2 linked regions of the Caenorhabditis elegans genome follow. The protein of the gene in region 1 interacts with the protein of each later gene in a pairwise test. Each region holds a gene or a part of one and is shown on either strand. Other genes may lie near its edges. The genes, in order: nab-1 and sad-1.

Evidence for each region.
Region 2: the proteins of nab-1 (region 1) and sad-1 interact in a two-hybrid assay, tested with the Caenorhabditis elegans proteins (one study listed by BioGRID).

The regions. Positions count from the first base shown.
Region 1 is NC_003279.8:4,221,974-4,240,307, forward strand, and holds nab-1 (Neurabin-1), read left to right. Parts: upstream 1-7,603; 5' UTR 7,604-7,695; intron 7,696-7,912; exon of another isoform or gene 7,913-7,914; 5' UTR 7,915-7,941; coding exon 7,942-8,034; intron 8,035-8,790; coding exon 8,791-8,886; coding exon of another isoform or gene 8,887-8,970; exon of another isoform or gene 8,971-9,169; coding exon 9,170-9,252; intron 9,253-9,600; coding exon 9,601-9,789; intron 9,790-10,522; coding exon 10,523-10,730; intron 10,731-11,098; coding exon 11,099-11,261; intron 11,262-11,507; coding exon 11,508-11,714; intron 11,715-11,912; coding exon 11,913-12,550; intron 12,551-12,739; coding exon 12,740-13,087; intron 13,088-13,546; coding exon 13,547-13,687; 3' UTR 13,688-14,067; downstream 14,068-18,334. Other genes in the region: C43E11.5 (Tyrosine-protein phosphatase domain-containing protein), read left to right, coding at 15,061-15,141, 15,418-15,726, 15,776-16,156, 16,201-16,455, 16,506-16,586; ndx-7 (Putative nudix hydrolase 7), read right to left, coding at 17,199-17,395.
Region 2 is NC_003284.9:13,493,269-13,508,395, reverse strand, and holds the start of sad-1 (Serine/threonine kinase SAD-1), read left to right. Parts: upstream 1-7,733; 5' UTR 7,734-7,843; coding exon 7,844-7,861; intron 7,862-12,251; exon of another isoform or gene 12,252-12,560; intron 12,561-13,500; coding exon 13,501-13,657; intron 13,658-13,916; coding exon 13,917-14,011; intron 14,012-14,736; coding exon 14,737-14,822; intron 14,823-15,127. Other genes in the region: H06A10.1 (DM13 domain-containing protein), read right to left, coding at 456-584, 639-684. UniProt on the Caenorhabditis elegans protein: Regulates both neuronal polarity and synaptic organization when bound to strd-1. Kinase activity is required for the establishment, but not the maintenance, of both processes.

The sequences.
Region 1 (18,334 bases):
CAATCGAAAATATTTTCTTTTAATACATAATTGTTTTTCTCAAATTTAAGAAAACAATTACAAATACATATGTCATTCACAACTTTTGAAAGATATTTTATGGAAAATGAAAAAAAGAACACTGTTTGTTGTTGAAACTTACAAAAATAGTTTTGCAGCAGAACAATTCCAACAAAATTCCAAATAATTAAGATTGATCCCCAATATTTGAGGGAATTTTTCACTACTTTGGGAACTTGTGAAACTGCTCTAAATATACATTTTTTTAACACAAAAAAGTTCGAAAACCTTCAAATTTTTTCTGAACCCAGCACATGTTGAACAAAACCTCTAGTACATCTTTAAAATCTTCCCATCCCGCAGCTCTTTTCACTTTTTATAACAAAATGTGTCACGGAATGCATATTGTTCATTTTTTTCCCTCCCCTGCCACCGCTTCTTTGCATATTTTATTTATTCAACTTTTCTCCTTTTTTTTGCTTGTTCCTTTCCTCCTTATTTCTTTAAAGTAGATGAAGGGGGAAAAATAAGATAATTTGTATTCTTATTCCCATCTGGCGATTATTTTCGAGCCGCTAAATCGAATTTGAAAAAGATGAGATGAAGAAGTGGGAGAACATGAAGAAGGAGATGATGATGATGTGAGAGAGAGTGTGTGAGAAGGCGTTGAAGCAAGAAAAGAGCAGGTTGTTTTGATTTTGTACTATCAAACATAGTACTAGTTTGACATTTTTAGAAGAGCTGCTCGACTATCTATTTCTTTTTAAGATTTTTTTTTTTGGATTTTTGAATTCGTCGGAATAAAAAATGATTTTTTTACAAAGCTGAATGTTACGTACCAAAATGTTTTTAAACTTAACTTTTCCGACGGATTACTCTGGAAGTGGGCAAATTTTTATTTATTCTGAAAAAAAAAATTTACAAGAGTTGCCGAGTTTCCTGAAAAATTAGGTTTAGTCTTCAAATTTTCAGCTTCTTCGTAATAAATTGCAGCTTCAGTTTTCGTTTTTTTTCTATTTATTTCTTTTTTTCAAAATTGCATACCAAAAAATAAATCACAAAACCTCAACAAATCTGTCACCAGTTTCTCATTTCCCAATCCTTTTCCTCAAGAACATATGGTACAACACAAAGTGCTCTAACCCATCACTTGCTCCATTTTTTCGTGCATCTCCTGGTGTTCTAGCTCATTTGAGTCACTTATTCCGTTATTTATATCTATTCTCTATGCATCACTCAGTCTCTCATATTTCCTCAATATTTCTCACGTGCAAATGAATGACATCGTTTTGTGTCGTCGTTTGGAGCTCAATGGGAATGGAGCAAAATGTCCGGAGCGGCATTTTTAACTAAAAGAGAGAGAAGGTGATGACTGGTTATGACTGAGAATTGGCTAATTAGCTCGGAATATGAACGGGAAGAGCATTTAGCTTGTGCTCATTGAGCTGTCAATCATAGTATTTCAAAACGTTTTGTAGTTCATAAATAGGTTTTCTGAATTATTTATCATATGGTTCACGCCACAATCTCGAAATCTGACCGAAAAATTAAATTTTAAATTTTTTGCAGCCTTGTTAGTATGTTTTATTTTTAACTGCTTGAACAGTATTGAGTTACATTTTCTAATAAAATTAGTTGCTTTCTCAAGTTATAGGACTTTAGAAAATTAATCTTGCACCCATATAGACCAATTGAAAATTATTTTTTATTTTCAAATATTCTATTCAAATTTATATTACGAATATTGTAAAGTTGCTAGATATAATAATAAAACATCATAAAAATAGGTACTTAATTTTTTAAAATTTTAAGTCAAAGGGAAACTCCGTTTTCACCGCCCCAATTTTTGGAACTCGACACAAAAAACTGTCAGTTGTATATTTTAATTTTTGGCAAATTGCCACCAAAACTTTGAAAATTTTGTAAAATCTGAAAATTTGTGCAAAAAGTACCAAATTTTAAAGTAAAAAACATTTCAAGCAAGAAATACATAAATTATTGTAATGGTTTTAAAGTGATAATAAAAATTTCCAAATTGTTTTTTTTAACTTGGAAAATTCAAAATAAATCCATTTGCAAATTTCCTGTAACGGTCTATAATTTAAAAAAATTCTTTTGAAAAAAATTTTCCCTAAAAATTTGCAAGTGTTAAACTTGGTAAAGTTTTGAAAAAAAAATCTTAAATCTCGCCACAAATGTACCAAATCCACCAGAGCGGTGAGGTTATCAGTATTTGTCAAAATTCTTAAACTCCAAAATTTTGGCAATTGCTCGAAAAACAGCACTTTCTATTGCCGAAGTTCAGACTATTGCAAAATTTATATTTTTATTAAAATTTAACTCTGTTTGAGAAAAGTACTATAATTTTCCATTTATAGTGAAATTTTTGCATTTCCCAAACTATTTTTCAAAAGAAAATTCACAACAATATGCAGCTCGGCAGCTAAAATTACGGTAGGAGTGTGAAAAAAAAACGAGAGATGAAGTCTGTGATCTACTCACAATTTTTGCAAATATTAAGAGAAGGAAATAGGCGTTTAAAAATTTAAAAATTAAAAATTTAGTGGCTTCTCTCACAGATCTAGGCTTCCAACTAGATCAGTCAGTTAGTCATTTTTCCGTTTATTTTTGACGCGTTTTTTTCCGTCAAAACCTCCTATACATATTGAATTGGAAAGCAAAAAGGGCGAAAGAGAGAAGGACGAGTAGCCAGTGTCATGTCCACTCGAAATGGGTCTCTCCTTCTCTCAGAAGGCGCGAAGTGTATTGGAGCATGATTGGATTGTGCTCCTTTGCTGCGTGTGTTCCACCCGTTTACCACACCCCTTCTGTTCATTCTGGCCTGCAGGCAGCTGAATTCTGGTTATTCAACCCGTCTTCTCTCCCATCTAACCCATTGCTCCGTTCGTTGTGCTCTTTCTACCCTCACATAATTCGCGCGTTGTCCACTTCCCGTCCATTTTGTGTCTGCGTCTAGGCGTCAATATTCCAGAGATTATTACAACTCCCATTGCTCTCAAAACTGTTAATATGTCTCCGTCTCCTCTCTATGCCTCGGGACCCTTCATCTCCCGGTGACTCTCCATTCTAAATCCCGGCTTCTCCTTCTTCTTTTCCATTGGCTCTTTCTAATGCATTATGTGATGGAAACCCCGAGGCGCCGGTCGTTGTTGTGTTTTACGTAATCCCCCCTACCCTACTCGGTGATGCCATTTTTCGATTTTGTCATGTAAAAAGGATTCCACTTCCAAAATTTTTCGGTTTCGAAATTTTCTATTTTTGGCTATTTTTGTTTTGCTTTTAGAATTTTTAGGTTCTCTGGAAAAACCAGGATTTTACTAATAATGAATATTTTTTCTTAGATCCGATTTTTCGTTTTCGCGAAAACTGGCTTTACAAAATTAAATGTTTTTAAATAGATAAATAGCTTGGTCACCAATTTTTCTAATTCCTAATTTTTCAAAAAAAAAATTCAAAAACCGCTTAGCTGATTTTCCAAGATTTGAAAAGTTTTGGAGGTTATTACCTAATTTTGCAATGCTTGGCATCCGGTCTCGAAGCGACTGATTTATTAAATTCGAAAGAGCCTGCGCCTTTAAGTAGTACCGTAGTTGCTAACTTTTCGTGGTTGCAGAATTTGCAAAGGTTATTATCCTTACTATTAGTTTTTTTTTCTCGTTTCTTTAAAATTTGATGTAATATTTATACAGTTTCACATGTTTTCCTATTAATTTTAAAGGAATTGAACAATTATGTTTCATCGAAGATAAAACATTTCGAAAATTTCGAACACGATTGCTTTAATTTTATGTTGAAAATAATTTCCAATTGTTCCCATTCCCAAAAGACTCTCTAAAATTTGTTTATAATTTCTTTTCTCTTTTGAAATAAATCGATTGAAATCTGACACCCCTAGAAATTTCTGATGCAGTGTTCTAGTGCCAGATGACTCATAATCCTTCTGCGTTTCCCCTTATCACTTTACACATGACAATTTTTTTTGATTTTTAAAATATATTCTACTTTATGATTCATCAGGTTTCATTTATTTTTATTTTTTGGTGCAGAAAAATAAAAATAAAAATAAAAAAGCGACCAGACACCCCACACTTTTGACTCGTCACACACTAATCCAATGAATAAATCAGAAGACTAGCACATCCTTTATCTCTTTTTTTGTCAAATGCTTTTTTTTTTCAATTATTGTAATTGAAAACTCAAAATAATATTTTTAAAGTTTTTCTAATCTTTCTAAAGCTTTTGTGGTATTTACAAATATATTTTTGAAAATTTAATGTTTTCTGAGTATCGAAAAATCTAAATTTTCGATCGATTGTTTGATATTTTCGGTCATTTTTTAATTTTTTAAAGACAGTTTTTTTTTAAATTGAAATACAAATAATTTTGAAACCCCAATAGCTTCCCAGTTACTTTTCTTTTTAGAAAACCTGAAAACTGAAAATTTGAACATTTTGTCGAAATTTCTAATAGTTTATGCTTGTATTTAGTTCCTGAATATATTTTTTAAAATAAAGCTTTGAAAAAATGGGCAATAGTTCGAAAAATTTCCTGCTACATAAAAGAAAGTCCGAGCAAAAATAAATCGAAAATTAAAAAAGAAATTTTGACCCGAACGTACTTTGTGTAGTTTAATGTTTGAACAGTACTAGTAATAAATGTGTAAACTTGAATACTTCTTTCTCTCAGGTGACTAGTTTTTTATATTCTCAATTACCTGTGACTTTTCCAAAAACAGGGAGGATTTTATTCTTCCGCAAAGTAAAAGAGTCCATAAAAAAGAGAAACAGTTGGCAAATCTTTTCTCAATGTTTGTTTCTGTTTTAAAGTGTTGGTCAACCTCCCTCCATCACTCTTGACCATCATTAGCCGAAAGAATGAGTACAAAGTGAGCGCTTTGTTTGTAGTATTTTTGAATATTTTCTTGTAAGCTTAATTTATCAATTTCAAATGCTTTGACAGGAAGCTGAATATCTGAAAATTTAAAAACTTTGGCTGAAATTTCAAATTTAAATTATTAAATACTAACAAAGTAAGAACTTGAATTCTTATTTTCATACTTTTTGGCGGGAAGTTGGAATTTTTAATTTCAAAATTTTCAGTAATTTTTTCACAGCATTGCCGGAGAAATCTCAAACTTGTAGAATTCAATTGTTTTGACAGAAAATTCAATTTTCAAAGTCTCAAAATACTAAGCGGAAATTCAAAATTTAAGTGACTATATAAATTGCCTGCTTTCATACATGCTTTCTATCAAAATTCTTGCCCGAAAACATAAACTTTTAAAACTATATTTTAGAGCACAATTAAGATTTTAATTTTTCTGATTTTGATATCAATTTTATTTGTTTTTTGGACAGAAATCCAATGTAGAGTTTTGTGTAAGTTTTGATGGGGAATTCAAGTTTTATTCAATATTTAATTTTTGCAAGAAAGCCAAATTTTAAAATTAGCCTGTTTTTATTTTAATTTTCAAACCATTCGAAAATTCTCAAACTTTTTGGTCTGTACTTTTTCCCGAAAATTATTAAATTTTATTTCTTCAAAGTTCACATCTTTTGTCGGAATTCTTGTATTTTTATCGTCACCCTAAAAATTTAACCATCTGTCAACCCTCTCTATCTGAACATATTGCTCTCAAGTACATGTTTTCCTGCAAGTGCTTCTCCTAATTCATGTTCCATTTCCTCTTTCCGTCTGTTCTTTTCTCTAATCCTCTTCTACATTCCTATACTATTTCCACCTTTCCAATCTCATCAGAATATTCATCCAGGCGAAATGTTTCCGTATTTTTGATTGTTCGAGTTGATAACCTTTTCTCCGTTATACCTTTCATTCAATTCATAAATGTTTACTCACATATTGCCACTCCTTTCCCTGACTCATAATAACTGTACCCCCATTTTTTTGCAACGTTTCTTTACTTAGTTTTCTTTCTATTTTTTTAATGGTTGCCACACAATTTTTGTTATATTTTCTCCGGATGTTTTCCACTGGCTTCCAGCCCGTTGCGCACTTTCATTCCGGCTCGTTTATTTTTGTAGACATCGTCAGTTTCTTGACATTTCTTATTCTTAAAAGTTCAAAGTTTATTGGAACTTGAAAAAAATCAGAGTTTGAATTTTAAAAATTTTTTTCAGCATATTTTTTGCAAGTTTAGAGATTTTAAATTCCAAAATTGATTTTTGCAGAATTTTTTTGACAGTTTTTTTTAAACTGAAAATGTAGTACTCAAATCAATAGTAGCCAAAGCAATAAAAAAGGCTTGAAAATATATTCCCACCTGAAACAATTTGCGCTCGGAAAATTTAAATTCAGCCAATTTCAGCAACCTTCGTCAATTTAAGAACACCCTCCAGTATAGAAGCTGGGTTTTTTATTTGCAAACTTATCTAGAATGCTGAAAGAAAACTCGAAAAGTATTGCTATTTGTTCCAGATTTTTCCATATTTTTCACACTCATTTCCCAAAAGCTTCTGGCTCCAAGTAAATATTTTTCCAATTTTTTGCCAGTCCGTAAATATATCTATAGCCTCCCTCGTCGTCATGTTTACATGCTCAATTCCATCCTCATTTCTCATTATTTCCTTCATTCATTCTAAAAAATCTTTTCTTAGAATGGACACTTTTAATTTTATATCTGTAAAAATAAATATGTGAAAAGAAAAGTGAGGAAAAAAACAAAGATTGAGAGCCCCCGTTCTGTGATGATTGATGAATGTCGGGTGTTTGAGAATTTTTCATCAAAAACATACTTTCCTTCATCTCTGATTTTTTTTTGGATTTTAAGGATATGTAGAACATTTTGTTTTCCTAATATTTCAAAATAAGATTTAGTTGAAAAATAAATTCAAACATCAAACCTTATTGGCCGACACCCTCACGGTCAAATTTGCCTATCTGATACCCTGAAGTTTGAGCTTATTTTTTTTTGGTTAAATTTTTTGGGCCAAAAAATCGGTGGTCCAATTTCGTGACTTCAAAAAAAGTATTCAAAAATACTAATTTTTTGGATCAATGTAGAGCGCATTTGCACTGATGTACCGTAAAATATGGCGAATTGATAATTGAATTCAAAAATGGTTCGGCTGTGCGGTTCAGATAGGGCGAGTAGAAAGGCGAATAAGAGGTGCCTTCCTACGTCTAGGAACACCTCGTATCTGTGATCTAACTTTAAATTTTTATCCCCAGAATTATTTGCGAAATTTCTGATTTTTGCGACAATTCTAATTCAATAATTGATTTGATTATATCGAGTCTAGACTCTCTATACTTTTTGGCACCTTTTCCCTTTTAATCTCCTTTTTTCTTCCACTTTCCTCTTGCCTCCGCTCTGAATCCGAATTTCGCTTTTCCTTCTTCACACAAATGAACGCAATCCAATTAGTCCTCATCCAACCACCCCGTCCGGTGCCCAAAAACCTGATCCTTATCACAGTTATCACCCGGGAGACGAAAAAGAATATAATTATGAATAAATAGATATTTTCACTTTCCCGTAAATCCTTCTGTCATTCCTCTTCTTCTTCTTTTCTCCAAGCCTCGGAAATATTCTAATCAATTCTGAAATTGAAAATCTCTTCAGAAAAGAAGACGTCGCCGGGACAACAACAACAGCAAGTGGGCGGTGCATGCGTCGTGCGCACCGCTGCTGATAACAAAATAGTGTGCGAGACGGTGAGTCGCAGACAAATCTCACGGGGGAATATCATTTCAGGTCATTCCAACCGGAGAAGACATGCGCGCAAAACGGTCCTTTATTGTTAAGGTTATGCAATATCCTCGGATATTGACACCCTTTCCCGTACCGCCCGTTCGCTCCTCAGTTCCCCTAAACTGATACGAATTATATCCGCTCCCCAACCTTTCCACCTTTTGAAAAATTCAATTTTACAGCTGCCTAATTCAATCCAAACAGCCGAGATGACAACGGCTTCCGAGCTGCTGTCAGACGACGCAAGAGCTCGATTCTCACATACAAAGGCTCTTTTTGAGCAGCTTGAGAGACAGCAAGACGTGAGTTTTTTTTGGATGATAATAATTGGTTTCCGAATTTTGAAATCATTTTGCTATTTTGCATTACGGTTATTTATTTTTCTTGAAAAAACTCACTAAATTGTGGATTAGAGCATATATTCCAGAATTTTTATGCAATTTTTCGCAAAATGATTTTCCTGGCTATATAGATCAAATCTGTAGCTCCCTATGAACAAGTTTTGCCTGCTAGTAGATTCTTCACTTAGGCCTTCAAAGAATAAGTCCCCTCTCTTGATTTGATCTATGAAAATTGCTGGAATTTTGCTCACAGGAAAAGTGAAAAAGTATGACGTCCCCGCTCTTTAGATCACCAGCTGAAAAGTCTGCGTCTAAATTTGGCGAAGTTTTCGGAGATCATTCGGAAAAGAGATACTCTGACTACCAGTTTCTGTATCACTTCACAGCCTCACGTTTAAGAAATTTGACGTCACGTCTGAAAAATGTCTGAAAAAGAGGTTTCCCTATGATCAAGTTTTGCTCAACAATTATTAATTTGGGTCAAAAGTTGGAAACACTGTCGACTTGATTTAGACTTCTACCATATTTATAACTCAAGTTTTGTTAAACACAGCTTAAACCCAGTATTTTCAAAGTCTTGCCCAAATTTTGCCAACTTCTGAGCTAATAGTAAGCTAACTTTTTCAAACATCAGATGCCCGCCACGCTTTTTCCAAAACAAACTCTAAATTGGGCAAGCAGACTACTGTAGTGTCAATTAAAAAATAATGTTTCTAGGTTCCATCATTCTACTCTCCACGTCTTCAACGTCAACCACCACCTCCATTACCCCCAAAACCTCCATCTCAATGTCCGCCGAGTCCGATGTCACAGGTATGTGTGATCAAACAATCACATGGCTCTCTTTCTCTCTCTCTCCTTCTCTTTCTGTTTTCTGGAAAAAGAAATGGAATTTAAAAATTCAAAGACTGTGTCAGTTAGTCAATGTTTTGTGTCTCCAACACCCCCGTCTCTGTTATACTGTTCGGTTGACTAATCCGCTCATCGATAATAGATTCAAAAATAATGGCATTTACTCATATCACACACACACTCCTTTCCCCCATCAGACACACACGCATATAACACATAATCGAAAACTCGAAAACTTTTCCAGGTCGAACGAAATTTCTCTGATTTGGCCGCGGATCTCGATCGGATCCAATCATCGCCGGCAACGTCTAGGTTTATACAAAATAAGTGAGTTGTTTTTTTAAGGATTTGTTACCATACCATAACTTTTTTTTAATTCTCAAAAAAATGTAACTGTAATTTTTTTTGATCAATCGCAATTTTCTCCATTCGGTTCGCGGGCCAAAGTATTTTAATTTTTTTTGGTAGTTACAAAAAGTCGCCTGCAACTAGATTTCAGAAATTCTAGGAAACTGTGCGAAATTCAGATAAATTAGTTGAGAATTTTTTTAAAGGAACTTTTTTGAATTTTCAAATCGAAAAAAAAACCAAAATCTCTGTTTTTTCTTTAATTTCAACTAACATTCTTCTTTGCTTCATTATCAGCTTCGCATGCCTTTTCTTTTTCCAATTCAGATCATCAACTCTTCCGTCATCATATTCCGATTCCACACAGCAGTATTCGTTCGAAAATACGGTTGCCACGTCGCAATATGGAGGACTTCAAACCAACAACAATAATAATAATATTAATATGAATTCATTTGAACCCTATTGGAGAAATGGATCAATATATCGGAGGCAATTCGAAGGAAATGGCAAACCGTATGTGTTTCGCTTCTTTTATTTTTCTTACTTTCTCGCATGAGTTTCTTTATTTTTCTCTATAATAGTTTTTTTTCTTGCGCTGAAGTATTTTAGTTGCGACTAACAAATATTTGTGTTTTTTCGAAAAAAAATGTGGCCTAGAAAAAACCAGAAACTTGGCCAGCATATTTTCTTAGATTTCTCATTCGGGATTTTTTTTGAATTTGCTAAAAAAAAGATCCTTGTGACTTTTCCAAAGTACAAAACTAAAAGTAAAATTTTTGATTCATTCAGGAACACGGTCTTCTTTGGATCTTTCAGAATAGTGATGGCACATAATATCTTGAAATTTTCGAATTTTTCAATTTGAAAAATCTATTAAGATTACAGAAATTGCTAAAATAGCGTGGCCGAGTTTTCTCACATATCGGCTCGTTGGAACCGTAAAAACCCTTTTCAAGCCCATTGTTGGCAAGCTTATGAAGGATCTATCGTAACCTTAAGTTTTTAAAAAACCGCACTGTGTTTGTGATAAAAATTCATTTAGTGTGTCTAGATATATTTTTAGAACGCCGATTTTTTATCGGACATTCACATTTTTTAAAATTTAAAAATTTGATACGATTTGCGCCAGATTGTTTTTTTAGTAAATTTAATATATGCAGGCACCTGAAAAAACCAATCATTTCATGAAAATGAGTTGCTGTTAATATAAATAATCAAATTTCTTCGATCAAAACTTTTTTTTCAGTTTTGGCGAGGAAAACGATGGAATCTCACCAACGACGAATGGAGTGAAGCACACGACATACGCCGTCGTCAAAACACCAAAGGAAACAGAACTTGAAACAACATCAGAAAACAGAGGACTCATGGAAACACGGAGGGGTCTGAGTCCAGAGAGGCCTGACGTGGATTTAACGAATCGAAAGGTCTCGTTCAGCACTGCACCTATTCCGGTAAGATCACCCACTTTTCCCATTCACTCATGTTTCTTTGTTGTTGCAAGTTTGCTCTATGGAATGTATGATGTTCAAAATAATTTTATACTTTTTCTAGGCCAAGACAGATTGAAACGTGGCCGAGAAAAATCTTTTTGAAACTATCAATAGAGCAAACATGCATTCACTGAAACTTGACCACCACAACCTAACATTTCCTTTTGTTTACATATATGTGGCAAGGTGATATTAATTCATTAATAGATATATCTATACAATCTCGAATTAGGTCACCTTATTGATATGATAAGAGATGAGGAACAAGAGAAAAAGAGAAAGAGAAAGCGATCTTCATTTGCATAATATCTAAACGTTTTCACTTTCAGGTCTTCTCGGCGTTTTCCGTTGAAGACTACGATCGCAAGAATGAAGACATTGATCCGGTGGCAAGTTGTGCTGAATATGAATTGGAGAGACGACTTGAAAGAATGGATTTGTTTGAAGTTGATTTGGAAAAGGGTGCCGAGGGACTTGGAGTCTCTATTATTGGTTAGTGATTGTATTGTGGCTTACCATAACTTAGAAGCCTTGTATCTCGGTTACAATCGGATGTTGCTCACAGTTTCTGTTTCATTTTTATAGTTGGAAACTTTCTTTTCTCGGCATAACCAAAGATAACCGAGATATAAGCGCTTAATTAAACTTGAAGGAATGTCAACCTGAAGCTACTGTTTAGGAAAAAATTATATGCTTTCTGCCTGCCTACGGTTTTCGGATAAATTCGTTATGTTTCAGGTATGGGTGTTGGTGCAGACTCGGGTCTTGAAAAGCTGGGAATCTTTGTAAAGAGCATCACACCTGGCGGAGCTGTTCATCGAGATGGACGAATTCGTGTCTGCGATCAAATTGTTTCAGTCGATGGAAAGAGTTTGGTCGGTGTCTCACAGTTGTATGCTGCAAACACGTTGAGATCCACCAGCAATCGAGTCACTTTCACAATTGGTTGGTTTTTTTTGGAGTATTGTGCCGAACGCGTATGATATATTGCATTGATGACTCCGTGAAATAACACAAATATTTTTGTGTGCAACAGCGACTCAATACACCATATTCCGCGCAAGCGTAGAGAAAAAAAGCATCTAGAAAATATTTCAATTATGTTTACCAGTTATCTTCCAATTTAAAAAAAATGTATTGCAGGTCGCGAACAAAACCTTGAAGAATCCGAAGTTGCTCAGCTAATTCAACAAAGTCTTGAACACGACAGAATGAGAATGATGGGAGACGAGGAAGACGATATCGAAGAGCCGCCACCACCACCATCTCAAATGCCACAGCTACCAATTGAACAGGATCGTCCGACAACTTCAATGATCACAAAAGAAGAAATTGAGATTCGTTCGAAGATTGCTGCTCTTGAACTGGAACTTGATGTTACTCATAAGAAAGCAGAGCAATATCATGAAGTGTTGAGCTCAACGAAATCACATTGTGATCAACTGGAAAAGCAGAATGAGCAGGCAAATTATATGATTAAAAACTATCAGGAAAGAGAAAAAGAGTTGTTGAATCGAGAAGAGAATCATGTGGAACAATTGAGAGATAAGGATGTACATTATGCATCATTAGTTCGTCAATTGAAAGAACGAATTGATGAGTTGGAATCGAAATTGGAAGAAGCTGAAGAGAGAAGGCATTCTATTCAGAATCTTGAGCTTATCGAGTTGAGAGAGAAGTTAAAGGAGAAAGTTGAGAAGAGGAATGAAGGAATGGCGTATAGACCAGGTGGAGAGCTTCCTCACGAGGATAAGGCTGTTATGGTTAATTTGGAGACTATTGTAAGTTGGAGAAAATATGAAAGAACATTCATCTTCAAACTTCATTCTAAAACAGTTTTCACATAATGCCTAAAATTAAGCTTGAGCGTAGGCCCTATGCCTAAGCCTAAGCCTACGCCTAAGCCTAAGACTAAGACTAAGCCTAAGCCCAAGTAAGAAACTAATTATAACACCCATTTTCATTTCCAGACTCCATCAACCAAAAAAGATGCGGAAGTATCAGTTGGAAGTAGTTGGACAGAAGAGTACTCATCACCATGCGAGTCGCCAGTCCCTCGTATCTCCGAGCCAGCATCTCCGGCTCTTCCACATAAATTGACGCATCGCAAACTTCTGTTCCCACTCCGAAAGAAGTACGCCGAAAACGAGTTCTGGCGTGCCACGTGTCAACCAGTTGGTCTTCAAGCTCTTCATTGGACGGTGGACGATGTTTGTCAGTTGCTCGTTTCAATGGGCTTGGACAAATATGTGCCAGAGTTCACCATTAATAAGATCGATGGAGCCAAGTTCCTCGAGCTCGACGGAAATAAACTGAAGGTGAGTAAGATGTATACGATCCCGGCGCAAGAAAACTCGGGTAGAAAAAAAAAACGCTGCAATTACATAACGAAAAGTTAAACTATTTCGTAGGCACCAAGGTGCTAAAATTTTTTAAACTTTTCGGTTTTTTGGGTAAAACCGAGAAAAAGATTCCTGAAAATTCTGAAATGAATTCAATATTTATGTTACACTCTATTTCATAAAAACAACAGAAATGTCACTTTTCGAGCAAGAGAGACTGAACTTTTGTTTTTGATTTTTCAGTTTCTTGTGCCAAACCCAAAAACCCTTCAGGTCTAGTAGGCACAGTCTGCCTACCTGAAAAGTGCCTAGAATATACAAGGCTTAAAATAGGTGCATTCTATAAACCTTATGTGACGTCAACTTTTTCAAATTTTCCACAATTTTGGGAAATCACACCACTTGAAATTGTTTATCTGAATCAATATTTTTTAGGCAATGGGAATTCAAAATCACTCGGATCGTTCTCTAATTAAAAAGAAAGTAAAAGGAATGAAGAATAAAATTGAAAGAGAACGAAAACAGTTGGAACGAGAAAGCCGTACCCGAGTCATTGCACACACAATTCCCATGTGATTTTTTCTGTCTGATTTTGAAAACTATTAAATTATAATTATTATATTCTCACTGCGAAAAAGTATACGAAAGTCTATGGTTGTTTTCTATATATATTTTTTTTCGCAAATGTTATCCATTTCTCAAGGTTGTTCCAAATCGCCAATCCATGGGTTTCCCTTACTTTTCCCCTAATTTGTTCAGTTTTTCAACGCCTTTTCTTTCCATTTCCATCCTCATAGATTCTGCCGTAATTCCCCCTTTTTCATGTTGTCCACCAAAATTTATTTATTTTTTCCCTCTATTTTTTCAAAGATGCACCACCAAAAAATTGTGATATATTTTTCTGACACTTTCCCCCTCACTAACAATCATTTTCTGACCAATAAAACATTGATTTTTATTTTAACTATCAGCTTAATGTTACTTTTCCATTCTTCCTGGCGAGACAATCTGATGAAGGAGATCAAAGTGGATGAAGAAAATGATCCTCATTTGAAAATAAAGATGTTCTACATTCGCATATTTTTATTTACCTTTATATTTTTCAGATCGAATAAACGGTTTTCAATGTTTAACAAATTTTCAATAATTCTCAGTCTTTGGGAATTTTTGTTTTTTTTTCAGTTTGTTTTCTAATATTAATTTAAATAAACTTGATTTTTCTTTTTAACAAAATCTTCAAATTTTCGGTAAATCTATTGGTTTTTTTTTCAATTTTCAAATTGAAAATTTTCAATAACTTTCGGTCATTTCTCCATTCTTTTTGAAGCAAGTTTCATTTTTTTTAAACCAAAATTTGATTTTCAATTTCCATTGAACATTTTTCTTTCTTGGCCAAAATTGAAATTTTCAATAATTTTCAGTTAGTTCTCAATTTTTTTAAACGAAAATTCCGTTTTTTTTCGAAAATCAAAATCGACAAATTTTAGATAAATACGTATTACTCATAGAACTCAAAAAATCTAATCTTCTGTTATATCTCTAATTCTTCGAAGAAAAAACATGTTTTTTTCACCAAAATTCGATTTTAAAAATAAATCGAAAATGTTCGCTTTGAAATTATTTATTTTTTGGTCAGAACTGTAATAGATTTTCAAGAATCAGGGAAAACGGGATCTCTTTCCGTCCGGATGACTAGTCTCAATAATGATTTGAAATGTACAAACAATTTCTGATCAAAATTATTTTTTGCCTTTTCACTCACGTGATAACATTTCAAAATTACAAATTGTTGAAGTCAGTCTAGCGACCTTCTCGTGGCCCCCTACTGTATTTGTTATTCTTTCCACGTATCTTCTCCACATCCACATCATAATTAGTCAAATCAATTTATTCTGAATTATTCTTGTCTCCAAGGTTCAAACAAAAACTCAAACGAGAACGGAGTTATAATGGCACCATCAAAGTCAAAGGAAAAGAAGGATAAAGCAAAGACAAGCCGTCGCAAATCCGGATCTCAAGCCAAGAAAGATGTAAGTTTGATATTTCAGCACAGGATCAGGAGACTTTTCTTGATCAATTCCTCATATATTCGCATTTATGCGCTAGATGAGCACACAGTTAATTTGCGATGGATCCATTGAGATCAAGGATTCACGCGCGCCTTGTTGCATGATTTCGTGGAGCACATGTGCATCGTGCGTCCATGATGTCAATGCTGTAAGGTTCCTGAAGAACACATCGCAAATTAACTGTGGATAACTTTTAAAAAATGAGTGAGAACTTCAACTACGAGAATTTCATTTCAGACAACAAGCACCGTGTCTGAAGGACAATCGCCAACTGAGGTGGCTGATCAGCTTTTGAAAGCAAAGAGTCGCCCTCAAATGTACGACCTTCTAAAGGGACATGCTGCATTCAATGTGCCGGAATTCGTCAAGAACCTGCCGGTAAATGTTCGTTTGCCGATCCCGATTAGAGATAATCGGCGCGTTCTTTGCGGATCCGATGAGGAGTTCTTCCCAGGACAGTACGTCAGAATGGAAGGAGCTGAGTACATCATTGTGCAGGCGCCGACCAAGAAAAGCTCAAAGCTGATTTGGAGAGTCATTCTAAAGGTTTGTTATTTTGTTGAATTTTTAAACATCATTTCAAATTTATTTTCAGGATCACATCAGAATTCTTGTGTGCTTGTGCCACGACGAACAAATGAGTGGTTCCGATGATGGAAAGTGCTATACATACTTTCCAACTGAGCTAGAGCAGAAAATGGAAGCTGAACTGATGAAGGGAACTCTTTCCATCGTTTGCAAGGCTCGTGAAGGTCTTAGCATGGGAGCAACCAAGTATGAGCTAGAGTTGACTGATAGTGAAGTTGTGATCGATAAGAACAGCGATGATCCGAATGCATCGAACTATAAAAGTCACCGACTCATCGTTTTCCATATGAATACTTGGTCTGGACAGAAGCCAACTTCCGGGAATGCTTTGGAGCAAGCTCAAAACGTGGCTCTTTTCTTTCGTGAGGTCAAGAAGTTTGAGATGGACGTGAGTTGAAACTAAAGACTGCTGCAAATAATAACAGTTAATAGATTCTGCGTAAAAGTATGGAAAACTTTGTGCCACCAGTCATGCTCCAATCATTCGATGGCATTAATCGTGCATCCACTGGTTGGGTTGCTTTGATGTTGTTGAGAGACGTCGAGAAACGAGAGTGTTTTGATGTTCCAAGCTTGATCAAAGCAATCATGAAGTTTCGAAATGGATCCATCTCCACCTACTATCAATTCTGTTTCTGCATGGCTGTTTGCTTGAATATCGGAAAGGATACAAATTGGTGCGCAAATGTGAGAAATCTCATAGGAAATAGTTTTCTTTAACAAAAATAACATTTCAGGATTGCAGCACGGCACTGACTGATTTGATGGAAAAGTTCGGCAACCGTAAACTGAATGAACTCGGGAACTTGGCAGTCTAGAGAAGAAAAATGAGCCTGAACTGAGAACTATTGCAAAATAAAATGTTTGTAGAATCGTGCTTTTCTGTTATTTTTCAGTATTTTCAGCAGACTGACTATGAAAATCTGGTTTTTTTTAATTCTACACTCTGAATGAGTAATAGTATTTTAGTCTCGCCACGAAAGTTTCCTGCAAAAAATTGATAGTGTTTTGCGCCTTTGAGGTTACAGTATCCAAACCCAAATTATTATAACATTTCAAAAAGTTTTCGCGACGAGACCATTTCTATTATCCAATGAGGCAACTAGAAACATCAAAATGGAATATTGTAAGTTCTCAGTATCAAGGAATTTGAAGTGGCTTGTGAGAGGATTGCACATCTTTCGATGCACCATATCCGTAATTTTAATGTGTTTCAGAATGCGAGAACTGGCGAACGGAATCAAGACAATTGAATCAAACCATTCTTCCTGGCAAGACAATCTGATGAAGGAGATCAAAGTGGCATTGCGTAAATGAAGAAAATGATCCTCACTTGAAAATAAATATTTTTTTAATCAGCTTTATTTTTAGAACATCAACTATTAACCTAGAAATATACACCCGAACTAGTAATAAAATAATTCAATTAATCACAATAAATCCTTCGAATGTGTGTCAAACTGATGGAAGGCTGCAATATCCGCTGGTTTCAGTAGGTGCTGGTACAACCGAACTTTTCCATACATTGGCTCCGAATAGTAGGTGGCGCGATGAGTTGGTTGAGTTGGATCAACGGTAACACGATCAGCAGACATTTGACGGAGCGGTTGTTGCAAGCTGTTTTCATCTGAAATTAAATTAAAAAATTAAATTTCGTGGGAATTAGTTTGGAAAACTAGGTTGAAATTGGGAAATTGTTCGATTTTTCTAGGCAAAGCTACATAAAGCTTATTTAAAATATTTAAAAACTACAGTAACCTAATAAAATTTAGCTCGTGGTCACGGCCTCTCTTCATTTCAAAAAATAAATAAATTGACGTGATGAACTGTCTCTGCGTCTCTCATGGGCGAGAGAGTGAGCTTTTTGAGCCGAATTTGTACTGAAAACGGTAAAATAGACCGGAAACGGCTGATAGTGAACAAAATCTAATAAAAATTTACTAACTGCCTGATCAAACACATATAAATTATATGAAAAAAAGGGCAAAATTGTAAATCACCTATGAATACGCCCACATGTGAAAGTTCAAAATCAGTGATTTTCCAGACAAAACTGTTTAAAGCCGGCGATTCGCTGATAAATCTTTAAATTTTTTATTAATATATTGTCAATTAAGACTAAGTGTGTCTATTTTTATGCAAATATCTAGGTTAGTGATGTTCACGACGCCGGCAGACGGAAAAACAAAAGGCTACCTCGAAAAATGGATTTTTTTTGGGACCTCTAGTGATCCTTGAAAAGAGAAATTTGAAAATTGAAGACCACCATTTTGTAGATAATTTTTTTATGATTATTTTCTGTTTTTGATGAAGGTTTTTTGATGAAAATTGACGTCGGCATCTTCAAAACAAGAATTAGGCCTGAAAACTCCAAAAATCGTTAAAAAACGACAATTTTTGGCGGGTTTTCCTAATTTTACGAGACGCACCAAGACATAATCAAAAATTCAACATCACCAAAAGTTGCAAAATTCTCTAAGGAAGAGATTAATATGTCAATCACCTGATTTGATCAAAAACTGATTGAGTAACTTCAGTTTTAAGACAATGCGATTGTAATTTTTGG
Region 2 (15,127 bases), on another chromosome or scaffold:
AAAATAGCTGAAAAACTGAAAAAAAGTAAATATATATGGAAAAAATTGAATGAAGCAAACACGCTCCAAGGATAATTTATTTCTTCGCTAATTTGATAAAGCTTATTGCACAATGAAAATTGCGATTTTAAGCTCAAATACAAAATCAGAGAAATTTCTTGAGTTTTTTCACATCGATATTCAGAATCAGGGGAAAATTTGGAGTCATTTGAAAATATTTCCCAGAATTCGGTACCCCACCTTTAAACAATTATGTGATTAATTATAGTCTGTGGCCAAACTCGAAAATTGTCGGCCGCCGTGAAAACCTACCCCTCGGAAAAGGTCTATCAAAACCGGACGACCGGGCGCCAAATATGCCAGCCCTAGACAGGAATTTATTAGAATTTAAATAAGATTCGAAATTTTTTTGTTTTTCCACAATTCATACTGATTTTTCGAGAAAAAATTCTTACTTGTTTTTGTAGTCCTAAAGTTAACAATTTGTAAATGTGTTGAGTTGACAAGAAAAACTTCTCCTTCCACGTCACTCTCACTGAACTCGCCCAAAGAAACTCCGTTGTACTCAATGGCACGTATGACTCCTGAAAAGCAAAAAAGAAGAATAGTGTCAATTTGCTTTCAAATGTTTTTCTTACCTGAATATGATATTATGAATATAAGAAAAAATTCGCTGTTCCGCATGTCAATAGAGAGAAAATCAAGTAAGTTATCTGGATATAATGTTGAATAGAATGATAACTATTGGTCTTTTGCTTCAAAGGAAATAAAAGAAAAAGCGTTGCTTTTCTGACCTATATGGCCAAAAACTGGTCAAGTTTTACTTCTCTGCTTTAACCCTAAACAGCTACATCATTTGTCGAGATGAGACGAAAGTGAAAACAGTTTACTTTTTTATTGTCTCAGTTCTTCTTTTCCAAATTGGAGTACATTGTAATGGTTTTGTTTTCTGGTGACTGCAAAACCATTTCAAAGAAGGTTCATCTCAAAACACCGGCGATCGGTAAATTGAATAAATGTTTCTATTATTTTTGTTAGTAAATAACGTTTGGATCATTGACAGTTTGAAATATTCTTGAAACACGCGCGCTAACGTCGTTGCATTTTTCAAATTGGAATAAACGTTTATGCATATCAAATAAAAATTCACAGTTCAAATCGCTACCAAGTTCAAACAATCTTGATACATTTTTTATATGATGAAAAATGCGAGGTGTAGCCAGTGACAACCTACAAAAGCTACAAACTAAAGGTTTGCTTTTAATTTGATATCTGTTCCACATTTAAAATAATAGTTTTCCTGAATTCTGTAAAAATTTGAATACAGTGTTTTTGGAGCATTTCGAAAAATGTGAATTTGAAAAAAAAGTTGTTCACAATGTTTTATAACAGAAAAGTTTATATTTTGGCTAGGGAAAATAAAATATTTAAAATCTAAAAAAAAGATGATCCATATCACGCTTACGGTAAAATGTTTGAATTGGGTTTTATACGAAAATTGCTTTTTTTTTTCAAAAGCTAGCCTAAAAACCTCAGTACAAAATGACATTATGACGTATAGAAGTTCAAAGAAGTTCATAAAAATGTTGAGTGTCTACCTAAAATACTACTAGTGATAATAACAGTGTAAGGCGCCAGAACGCCTGCCTCGCGTCGCAAGCCGCTTCTCTTGTATAATGCGGCACGGAACCCGAAAAATGTCGACCGCGGCCAAATAACCGCTTTTAGCACTACTCCAAGCCTTTGACTGGAAGCCCTGATCTAAAGACTAAAATAAAAATATTGTAAATAAACCTACAATTATTCTACAAAAAAGTATTTTCAAACTTTACTCCACCTGTATCAAATGGTTTTCATTGCGTTATTTCTTTCGAAATCGCTTCAAAATTTCAAATATTTCCAATGAACACTAAGCTTGGGCGTTCAAGCGCACAGACGAATTCAATAGAATCCAGACGAGTACCAAAAACAACCAGCTTATTATTGCCCAGAACCAGAACCTGCTAACCCCTCGGGCATCGAAATCGAGCAAAGGGCACCTAGAAATTTTTAATGAGATTTCCCCCTCCTGCTTTATTCGCTTCCCACGTCTTCCGTTTTTTCTTACTCCTCTTCTCACCATCTGGAGGCATAAAATGGTGGACGGAAAAAGAGCAGATGTGCTTCTTCTTCTTCTTCCCACTCTGACACGCTCCCGGATTACATCACCCTGCCATTCGTCAAACCCGATTTCCATTAGTGGTGATGAAATGTGTAACCCAAATGAAAATGAAATGGGTGCGCTCTTTTTCATCGTTTTTGTCGTTTTATTGATGTACTACTGAGATTGCACTAACGGTAGTGCTTTTTTAACTTGAAGTTTTCACCGGAACTTGGTTGGTGTAACTTTGAACTTCATAGTTATGGAAATCACGCAAAATAAATTTTTTCAAATAAAAAACTGTAGTGTTGTAAAACTAAAAGTTGTATGAAATGGTTTCGTTCATTTTATAGATTTTTTTTTGTTTTTCTGAGTAACATTGGTTAGATCTGGTTAGATCGTCTTGAAGAATTTCGAAATTTCCGCGTACTTTTGAAGTTATATACATTCTTCAAAAGTTGGCTGAATAAATCTAGTGAAGTAGCTTCTATGCTGTAAAAAAAACAAAGGTCCATACGTTAAAAAACTTGAAATTCTGTATTTGTTCAAATTCGAAACTCACCTACAGTAAATCTGAAAAAAGTATTTCTTAAGCTCACTTTGAGTATGTTTTGGCAAAACTTCCGCTAGCGCTATGTTACAGGTTACACTCCTTCGGTATGATTTTTCAGTTCAGCAAAAAACAAAAAAAAAAAGGTTTTCCCCATTTATCACTGTATTTTATCTTCTTGTTCAATTTTAAAATTCCATTTGAATCTTCGAAAGTAAGCTGGTTTACGAGAGTGCCGCCCGACTCATTTAGCACTTCTGAGCTCCCGCCGTGCTTCTTCAGCTCCTTCCTCTTCTTCTCCTCTTATTCAATTGCGACGAAAACGAATGAGAAGACAAAAAATAAGAAGAAGAAAACGAACTGACAGACGACTTCTTCACAAATTTTCACATTTTCTCAATTTTTTCGAGCTCGACGACATTTCTTCACATTCTTTCACTTGAATCAAGTTGAAGCTTCATTTTTTCGTCTTTTTGTTTTTGTATTGAGCATCAAAGTTTAGCCTACTCAAATGAGCAATAACCTTTTTTTTCAGCTGTTCAATACAAAAAACTATCAAAAAATATGCATTTTCTTAGCAAGTTTTGAAAATTATCCAGTGCTCAAAATTCTGAATATTAAAGGTGGAGTAGCGCCCATGGATTCTGTCTAAATACATTTATAATGACCCAAAACGACCGAATATCATAATAAAACATTCCAAATAATTTTAGATTTCCCATAATTCTCGGTCGAAGTTTTGGCAAATTGCCAAAAATTTTAAAAATATGAGCTTTGAGGAAATTCAAAGCTATGTCACATGTTTCGACCCTTACAATGTTTCAATACAATTAGTTAAACAAAGTTAAAGTATAGAATATTTAGGTAGAAATTTTTTTGGTAGACTTCCAAAATTAAGAGTAGCAAAAAATGAGTAATTGTCATTTTTTGACAGTAAATAAAAAAAATTTCAAAAATTATTTGAAAAGTTTTATTGATATTCAGTCATTTTTGGACCGAGGGAGTTGTTTTTAACAATTTCCCCACTGACGCTACTCCACCTTTAATGAAAACTTATGTATTGAAGAATGAGGGTTTTTTGAACCACTATCTCACTAAAATAATGAAAATCCAATTTTTAGTTCACCAGACATATCTATTAAAATTTACATTTGATAAAACTCATATTAGACCCTTTAGGCTCTTGTTAAGCTTTAGCGGCTCTCTCAAACTATTGTTTGCCTTCAATTCTATGCACTCTGAAAGAAAATAAAAAGACGAAGAAGAACTCAAATTTCAATCCATCCGTCACGTCCTCATCCAACTCTTTACATTTTTCATCTTCTGCACACTTTTTTTTGTTCACGTTTTCGCTACCTCCTAAACTATTCTGGGCTCGATTCGTTAAACGTTCTTGCCCATTGTTCTTACAACACTAAATAATTCGTACTACTTTTCGACGAACGACCTCGGAAACGAATATGTACATGTTGAAATCCATTTCTCACACATATTTCACTCCATTTCATATTCAACATGGAGCTTTTGCAACGGACAGGGTGAGGGGGAAACTAGCGACCACCACCTCATTAATTCGGGACCCGCGCGGGTAGCGAAGTGTCCGTGCTTCTTCCTCTTTTCCGGGGCGAATACTCTCCACTCCATAATAATGTCGTGTTTTGTCCCGTTTTGCTATTTTCTCGTCGCTCTCTCTCTGTGGGCTCTTCTACACTTTTCTTTGGCCATGACTACCCAACCAATTAAGTGACAGGAACGGGTGGAGGAAACTGAGGCAATGAGCAGTAAAGTACACATTTCCGGGAAAAGCGATTGTGTTGAAATTTGTATAACAAAAAACGAAAACCTCCAATATTTTTCAAAAGAATTACTTATAGGTAAAACAAAAACGACTCAAAAAACAATAAGGTTTGGGCGGAAATTAAAAACTGTTCTAATTTGAATCAATTTCTTTGTCAATTTCCACCATTTCGTTTGTAGCACAATATTAAAATATTAGGTTGAAAATCTAAAAGGTGGAGTAGCGCCAGTGGGGAAAGCATTAAAAACCACTCATATGGTATTAAAAAGAACTATTTATACAAAAAAATTATTCAAAAACTATTTGAAATTTTTTATTTACTGTCAAAAATGACAATGACAATTACTCATTTTTTGCCACTTATAATTTTAGAAGTCGACCAAAAAACAATTTTTTACCTACGTATTTTATACTTTATTTTGTTCAAATAAATTGTAATAAAACATTGTAGGGGTCATAACATTCGACATTGTTTTGAATTTCCCCAAAAGCTCATATTTTTCAAAATTTTGGCAATTTGTCAAAACTTTGACCGGGTATTATGAAAAATCTTTAATAAATTTGGAGTATTTTATTCTATGGACAAATGCATTTAGTTTTACAAAGGATTTGTAGTCAACTAAAAAAATTAGTTGTTTAAATGTAGTATATCCATGAAAATATATGTACAGCAATAGGAAAAATTTTTCAAATATACTTATAAATGTTTTTCATGGCTGAATAGTATCACACTCATATATAACGTTTAAAAATGCTTATTGAACGGTTTCACCAAGTTACAAAATTTGGGAAACATTTTGGTGTTGTTGAAAAATTAGGAACATAGTTAATTAGGAGCATGTGTCATATACGTGTGAACAAATTAAAAATATTTTTCTGAAATTTTGCGGACACCCAAATTTTAAATATTCGGACAATTCCGTCAATTTTGTTTTCAGCATTTCGCCAGCCATTTTGTCATTAGTCTGGTCTTAACCACAGAAACACAACAAGATTAATTTCTGTTGACTCATGAGTTTGCAATTACTCTGTTGTGAAATAGCTGAAAAGATATTTTTTTGGAAAATTGTTCGATTTTTTGATAAAGTCAGTTTTTGTATGTTTTCATTTTGCAACATGAGAAACAAGTATGTACATAAATGATTATTCCATTCTGATGGAAGCTGCTGACTTATTCTAGCAGTTCCGTTTTTTTCTTTTTTTTCAGTTGTGGTGTGGTTCACGTAGTTACATTCACTGCATACTACTACTTGGATAACACAGTGAAGTCCCCCCCCACCCCGCTCTTCTTCTCTGCTCCTCGTCTTTCTCATTCTGTTCCTACTCGCATACCCTATATTCCGTAAAAGAAAAATAGGAGGAAAGCCATGTAGAGAGCATGAGCATGCCAAATTGAGAGTGAGAAAAGAGCCCAAGCCTTCTTCGTCTTCACTCCCACAACGGCTTATCGTCCGTGCTATTGAGTAGGCAGGCAGCGTTGCGCGACCACGCTAGCCCCCTGGAGCCACTTCTCCAAATTTTTTCTTCTTTTTCTCTCTTTTTTTTTGTTGTTCTTTCACGTTCTAATTTCCTTAGTAGTTTGTTTTTTTTCACAAGTTTTATTGCCTAATTTCATTGTCTGGTTAAAGAGCAATGAACATTGAATGAGTTTTAAAAGTTGAAGAAAAGTAATGAACCTGAAAATTATGACACGCAATGAGAATTTTGATGGGTGCAATGTGCACTCAGAAAATACTTAACTAGTTGAGACTCTATTCTAGAAAATTAAGAAGACTGTTCCAACGTGAAATATATTAAAAGTGGAGTAGCGCCAGTGGGTAAATTGTTAAAAACTACTTTCTATGGACCCAAAATGACCAAATATCATCATAAAACTTTTCAAATAAATTTTGAAAATTTTTTATTAACTGTCAAAAAGAGGCAATTACTCAGTTTTGCCACTCATAATTTTAGAAGTCGACGAAGGAAAAATTTTTCCTACGTATTTTATACTTTGTTCAAATAAATTGTAATAAAACATTGTAGGGGTAGGAACATGCGACATTGCTTTGAATTTAGTAAAAAGCTCATATTTTTCAACATTTTGGAAATTTGGACACAATGTTTATGAAATAGTGGTAATTGATAAAAATTAAATTCCAGACGCTGTGACACCAAGAAGTTGGCAAAATATTTGATTTTAGTCGAACATGAGCTTTGATTTCCAGAATTTTGAAACGTGATAACTTTTTATGAGTACTTTTCAAAATTTCTTATTACATAATTCGGTAGTTTTGGGGCATTTTTGGTTTAAAGTCGCAGATTTCGGTACTCCACCTTTTTTGATAATTTAACACAATTTTGGTAATCACTTTCTATTATTTTTCCTATCAGTATTGCATTCTCCTATTAACTGAATTGAAATCTCGGGGCTGAAACTTTATTTTCAGCGGTCTTACATGAATCAGGATACCTAAAATTTTAAAACGTATAAAAAACTCAGCGATAATAACTGAAGGTTCAGAATTTTACATTCTCGCAAATTTTGAAGTACGTTTTTTTTTAATTAAAAAGAGTTCCATATTTACAGTTGAAATCGGTTCGTATCAAATTTTAACAAATACGAAAGAAAATTCTCGTATAGATCGTTTTCAGTATTTTTTTTCTGAACTTTCATTATTAAAAAATATTTTCTCAAAGTTCTTTTCCTCAATTTGTCGCATCAGATATATTAGGATTTTAATTATATTATACATATTTTATTCAATGGCCTTCAGAAATTATTTTGCATTCTCTAATGTAATTGCGTTCCCTAGGCATCCAGAATAAGTATTGCTCCAGAAAAAAATACGGTATAAAAACCATAACCAAGACTACGTTGTTGGCATTTACTATATCTGGAAAACTAACAATTCTTGCGAAGCACTCCACTAGATTTCCTTCCGATTCCTCTTCTCCAATTTTTTATTGATCCTTTTTTTGTCAGGACCACTGGGGGGATGGATGGACTTCTTTTTCCTATCCCATCCCTCTTAACGGGCCCTTTCTGATTCTCTCGAAGCCTGTGCATCTCTCACTTTTTTTAGTGAGTACTCCCCAGGGCAGTAGCAGTGCAAAGAGCTGTGCTCTGTGTGCATTGTGTACTGCTAAATTCCTGCCAATTCATTGAAATATGACAAGTTGGGTTTTTCTCGCATTTGAATCGTTCTCTCAACGTCACTTCCAACATTTGTACCATAAACGGAAATCAACACTATAGATTTCAGAACCAGGAAAGCTGCTCAGGAGCAGAATCAAAAAAAATCCCCGTTTGGAATCCAAGGAAGCTTAAAACTTAGCCGCATGACTGCGCTCGTCAATCGGGCAAAGTCTGCACATGTTTGAAGCTCTCAAGGTGAGTACAGATTTTTTTCTGATTGAGTGGGTTGTTCTAAATTATGATCAAATGTGATGTCACTTTTTTTAAAGTTTAAAAAGACTCAGACTTTGTTAAATTGTACAATTTTAAAAAAACTTGAAAAGTACTGATCACTTAATACCCTTAATGATTACTTAATAGTTATTAATAATTTTAATGCACGGTTCATTAATATTATGCAATTGACAATTCAAAAAGATAATTATCTTCTAAATTAATAGTTTTCCAAAAAAAAAGAACACTGTATTGAAAATTTTGAATATAGTTCAAATTTTGGTAAATGCGTAACTTTATTAATCATTTGATTTTCTCACATTCTGTCCCTCAATTCTAATAATCCATTCATTTCGCCGTAATGACGTCCAGTCGACTTTTGATTCCACGTGTTTCTGGGTGCAAAGGAAGCCGCCTGAGCCCCGCTTAATCCGCATTGGGAATAGTCTGGAGCATTTGCTCCATCGTCATGCTCTTTTTAACTTGAATTTGGGGGGAGGCAGGCAAAACTACATTATTCAGTCACGTCCTACTTGTCCACTTTCGCCCATTTCAGAGGCATTTTAATGATAGGATTGGGAGCGGTTTTGGTAGATTTCTAGTTGAGATTACATTTAAAGCGTACGATTTTTGTTTTATTTTTTGGTGGTTTTAATCATTATCAGTTTTCGATTGGGAAAAAGCCTGATATCCAAGTTCTCAGAAACGTTCATAATAATTATAGACAATATTGGCAAAAATGCTGTGAGTTTTTTTAAAAATAACATTAAAAAATAACAATAACAAAATCTTTTTGAGTGTTATACATTTTTTGTTAATATTTCACATGGTTTTATGCTTTTATGCCTATTTCTTAAAATACTTTTGATTATGGCTTTTGAAATAAAACCTTTTGAGGACTTTTTTGAAAATCGCCAAAACAAGTTTTTAAATAGAAATTTGTACTCAAAACGCGTCAGACCGCTAACGTCAGTGACGTCTTCCTTGTTCTTTCCACCTGGCTTAATATACACAATCAAAATATTTTCCTGTAAAAAAATCTATATTATTGAAGCGTAAGAGCTAGATTTGATAGTTCCATTGAGAATAATTCAAAATTAACCAACCTATCTTTTTTTCTCCTCAATTCTAAATCATATTGTTTTCTGTTATTTGTTTGAGTGTATTCCAAGAAGAGGAAATAGATGAAATTGGAAAAACGAAAAATGAAAGTCCGAATTTGAATCTGAATCCACGAATCTCGGAATCCCGAAATTGAATTTGAGCCACCCCTCTGAGTCAGAGAGCCCCCATCCCCTCGGCTTTGGCTCTTTATTGTATCATTTTGCCAAAGCCTTTCGAGTTCTTGATTTCAAAAATGTTTCGCAATTTCTGTATAATAAGTAATGATATAATATGTAAAAACCAGTATGAAATATTTCCATTGCATTGTTTCATACTTAAGAGTCGTGAAATTGTTCCAAGTGAGAATTTACAGACATTAAATGATTTGACGATTGTCTAGAGGTACGTGAACACTTTGGCGGGTTTTTTTTGGGGAAAACTGTCAGAGAAAAGTAATCTGAGCATTTTCACAAAATTTCCGAACTACTTTTCTCTGTTTCCTAGTGCTCCTCTGCTGCTAAACATTTTTTATAAGAAAAAACCTCTCTTGAATCCCCCAGTTAATACGTTTTCTCATTGACGCCACATCATTTTGTCTTTAATTCTCTTCCAATTTTGGCACCACCACCCACTACAAAAACCATCGGGGGATGAGGTGAGAGAAAAAGACAAAGAGCGTGGGGGGAAAAAGGGAAGAAAAAAAACGAAACGGATGAACTGACATTCGCAAGGAGAAAACGAAAGCGAGCCGTATACAACACACTATTCTAAGCCCATTCGAGCTTCGGCAGCTCTGTTGCACAGACAACGAACCGAATCAATATTAAGACGAACAAAGTCAGTGAAGAAATTGAAAAGGATACGGATACCTCTTCCTCCTCCCCCCCCCCCATTTTTTTCCTCGTTTCCTCCCTCTAATACATCTTCGCCTCTTTTTCTCAAAGTGCCTCCGGTGTGCCAACGGTGCTTCTCACCCTTTTCATCTTCTACTTGACGTCCTTGAGAATTGAATGAGGGAGGAAACCGAGAATGGACTCTTATTATACTAGCTTTCCGGCTCCTATTCCCAGCGAACCTTGCTTTGTAAGTTTATCTTTTTGTCATACCAAAATTGGACTGAAAATCGGAGCACCGTCTTGACTCATCTTGGGTAAAATCGCCTGTTTTGTACGGTTTTTTTGTTCAAAATATATCTTCGTATGAAAATTTATTTCTACCCATTGTTTATCTAAAACTTTTACCAAGATGTTTGTTACTGTTCACCGTTTCTATTCTAAAGTGTCGAATTTTCAAATCTCATAATTTTTGAAGAATTTTCGAATGTAGAAAAGTATTTCTGTTTGGTTTTATCCTGATTAAGCTTCTATTAGTTAATTTTAAAGTTTTTTTTTTTGAAAAACCTAAACCTTTCTTAGTTATCGTAAATTTTGACTTCTTGATCGGCAATGATTTGGAGCACTTGATTGCAATGGTAGAGTTAGAATTTGCTCGATATTATATTGAAAAAAATTCCAAAACACCCAATTTGTAACGATGCCTTTTGGAAAATTAAAAAAAATGTTTATGGCGGTTCAAAATGTTGTTTTCTGAAAACTTTGAAGTTGGCTCAAAGGGGAAATGATTTTTAGATTTTAATGATATTTGATCAGTGTGACACAGAAACATCATAAAACGCTGATTCAAACATTCTCAGGTAAACGCTACTTTGAGAAATTTTGATTTATGTCAGATTATCTCACCAGGTACAAATGTGCATTGGTACCAGACTGCACTAGGGTAGACTGGCAAGTTTTGCATTAACATTGTATATCAAACTTAAATTTTTTGGTGTTTTCGGTTTTCGGTTTTCGGTTTTCAATTTTCCATTTTGCACGAGTTTTTAGCCGCATGCAAAAATTTATGCGCAGCCGACATCAATGGAGGTCCGCAAGAAATAGCTTGACCTCTGAAAACTTGTGTCGCCCACTCAATACTAGTGAAAAATATATCACCGTCCCTTTGATCCAAACTTTTTTTCATAACTTAAAAAATGTTTTTTTTTTCGAATTTCCGCATTCTTGGCAGATTATACAAAAATATGAAAAAAAAAACATACCCTCTCGTCATAAAACATTAAAATTTTCAAAAATGATGAAAATAAAATTGAAGGGACACTTAATTGCTGGTAGACATCGCAAACATAAAATGAGAGAAAAAAACGGGGCGAGCTCAGTTAGTCATCTCGTCGCCACGCCATTCGCGGTTTTCTCATATATTCATGCATCGACTACCTGCAATTTTCCATACATTCGCTAGCTAGTGCACCTCCCGTTATCGTCGTCAAGAAAAGGCACTACGGAAAGGGCGGCGTAGACGTGCTCTTTTGTTCTAAAAACCTCTAAAAACCTGACGAGTGCTCGACTTTTTTGTTTTTGTTTTGTACGTCCAACGCCTAGTTGTGTGAAACTATATTACTGCTGCTATTATTATACATTCAATATTTTTCGTATGTTAAAATTTGTCAGAAAGTCTACAAGAAGTCAATGTACAGTGAGTGTTATTTCTCTAACTCAGTTTCAGAACAAATGCCCTATGATTATTTCTTTTTACTTTTGTCTGTTCAAAAAAATAAATATTCTAAGTTCTAATAGCCCTTTCGGCTGAAAGCACTTCAAATTTTACAAGTGCTGAAGTAGTACTAAATATCGTAATTTTTTATAATTTTTTTTGTATTGTTAATTTTTCTAGATACTTTTTCTTAAAGCTAAGTATATTTTTTCAATCTCAAATGCTTACATATAAGTAATTTTATTTTTGAAACTGAAATTGTATTTTCCTTAAAAAATGTTTGGCTGAAAATTTTTCTATTTCCAGTGGAGGAACTGGTATTCCATAGGAAACTAATTGTTGACAGCTGTCTGAAAAAGCTAAACGCGTAACGAGACTTGAAATTGTGTAATGGAATGCTATTTTTTGTGTTCTCGAGTCTGGAAATTTTTATTATTGAAAATTTTTAAATCTCAGTCCAATTCAGTAGGCATAATTTTTGTACAGCTACTGCATTGAAAGTAAAAAATCTCAAATTTTTATATAAAAAATCTAAAAAATCTCAAAAAATCTCAAAATTCCTGGAGCCCCACTCCCGAAAAAAGATCTTCCCTCTCTCTCTCTCTCTCTCTCTCTCTCTCTCTCTCTCTCTCTCTCTCTCTCTCTCTCTCTCTCTCTCTCTCTCTCTCAATGAGAAAACAATTGGGATAAGAAGCTCTCTTGGCTCCATCGTGAGGCCCATGCTCTCTTGACACCATCATGATAGTTATTTGCTTCGGTTGCAATAAAACTAGTACAGAATAAATTGGTGGCCATAGAATAGAGTGATGGAGGCTGGAAAAGCTGGCGGCTTGTTCGAGTAGAGGGACATGACAAACGGAGAGGATGGGGCGTGTTGGCTCTTTTTCTTTCCCGCCTTTTGTTTTTCAACGCGCCATCACCACACCCTCCATCCCAAGCCTACCACCCATCTTCCATTGCTTCCCCCCCCCCCCCCCCATTTTTTTTCCTTTCAAAGCTTTATGGCCTCTTCATTCATTTGAACATCTTGTATCAATAAATACACCAACTTTAAATTGGACTGTACTAGTAAGAGAAATGTGCATTGCTGAGACGCTATAAATTTTATTTAGGTAACACTTTGCCTCAAATTATTGATTTATAAAACTGTTCCCATGCGAAATGATTCCTCCATTAGTATTGCACCCGACTACTTAACTTTGAAACGTAATATCTAAGTTCATTTTGAAGACATCAATATATTATTAACAACAAAATGACAGAAAAACAATAGCAAATATTTTGTTATTGGACTATTTTCGAATAGGACAAACGATAACTGAGATATAAGCTGACAAAGTTGAACAATGAGGTGCAATACTAATATGGGAAATACGGTATATATTTTTTAAAGCTAACGGATATAAGTACCAATTTTTGTTAGTTATGTAGTTCAAATTGATTGTTATAGTAACCACCGCATTGCTCAAATCAAATAATTTTCAAATAAAAAAAACTCGGCTAAAAATAACTTTTAGTTCTGAATTGAAAATTTAGTTTTCTCAAGGGTAGCAATTTTTACCACCCATATATCTGTCATTATCAACTTTTCATTCCAATTTGAAAGCTAAAAATTATGTCCTTAAGAGTGTTCGAGAACCTTTTTTCGTGGTCAAAAATAAGTCTTCATAAAGTTTTACCCTGCACCATCAAAAAACAATTTTGGCCCATAAACTACTAAAAAGTGACTTTTCATTAAAGTTCTCCCGGCAGCCAAAAATTTTGAAAATGTTATCAAATAAAACAATAAATTCCCATGACATTATTAATGAAATACAAGCTATTAAATAAGTTTTAATATTTGATCCGGAGTTTACTGTCACGCGTAATATGATAATTGTGCATTTTTGGTAAAAGTCCAATATTCTTAATACAATTTAATTCAAAAAATTATTTATTGCTCATCGATTTCAAAACAAACATTTTTACAGGAAGTCCTCGGAGAGATAAATAGCAAACTGGCGGCCGTGAATAATGAGCTGAGCTCGAAAATCATGTCGGAAAACATTGTATCGACGCGTCCAGTGGCGCAGGCTCAATATTGCGGTCCATACAAACTTGAGAAGACGCTTGGAAAAGGTCAAACTGGTAAGCGGTTTTCATTCAGTTGTTGACCGAGTAATTTAAGTTCCAAAAACTGCAATTCTCCCATGGGGCCTAACCCCAGAGTAGCATTTGCTACAAGAAAAATATAAGCAAGCTTTGGAATATGCAAATGACTGTTTTGACTCGAGGGCTCTCGGCTGTCCGCTCTTATTTATGAGCGAATTTTGAGCCTCTTTTCTTAGCTTGAACTGTTGAATGGAGTTGGACGGGAGCTGCAGAAAAAATACATGTATTGTTTCAGGGTTGGTAAAAACGGGAACTCATTGCATTACGGGCCGTAAAGTGGCAATCAAGATAGTCAACAAAGAAAAACTCAGTGAATCTGTTCTACAAAAGGTAATATTTTTAGTTGTTACTTCAAATTTTCGATTAAGAAAATGATTGCTATATAGAAAGATAATATTTAAATTTTAAAATAACTTGAATGTTCTTATGTTCCAATCAAAAATATTTGCTCATATATGAATGTTCACATTCGGCGCATATTCTGCAAATGTTTCCCTTGGTGTAGATGCCGTACAAAAGAACTGTGAACTCTCAAAATTTTGTTTCCGTTCCCATGTTCTTTGTGATTCCACGTCATCATCATCATCACAGTGTGTCACTTCTTATTCAGTCGCTAATCCTCTTCCGGCTCCCCGAGCACATATATACCCTGTGCAACGTATTTTTTGCTCCTCTCGAAACGGCACAAAAAAGAACGAAACACACACACACACACACAGGGTTCTTGAATGTGTGTCTTACGGATGCTGTCATTTTTCAACCAATCGCCTTTTCTCCTCTTTTCTCCCGCTTTTACATTTGTCCTTTCTCGTCTTCTTCATCTCGAAAAACGCTGTTTTCTTTCTATTCGGCGTTTTGTCTGAGCTCGTCGAGCAACATCGAGTAAAGCATATATGTTGTTGGAGAGTAATGAAAGAGTGGCAAAAATGGAGGATGAAAAAATTGATGAAGTAGAAAGTGGTCGTATGAAAAGTGGCAATATTGTATAAATTTCCATACATTAAAAATGTATTGGTTTTTGTTTGAAACAGAGCCATAATTTATGGAATTTGCAGGTCGAAAGAGAAATTGCAATTATGAAGTTGATAGAGCATCCACATGTGCTTCATTTGTACGATGTCTACGAAAATAAGAAATATTTGTAAGTGATTACCAAAAGTGTGATAAATTGGAAAAATTAAAGTATAGTAAAGATTTATTAAAGTTATAAACAAAACATGACTCAAATCTGGGAGCTGCATAAAATTCGATATCATTATTCTAAAGTAGTTTGGCACGTAGCACCCATCTCACTCAACAATGTTGATTATTTGGCCAAACATTATTAAAACAATTGTATTTTTAGTTAAAAAAAACACACAAAACAATATTATTAAAAAATTGCATAAGTCTCTAGAACTTAAATAAAATATTACATTCGAAAAGTGATTAAATCCGAAATTTAAA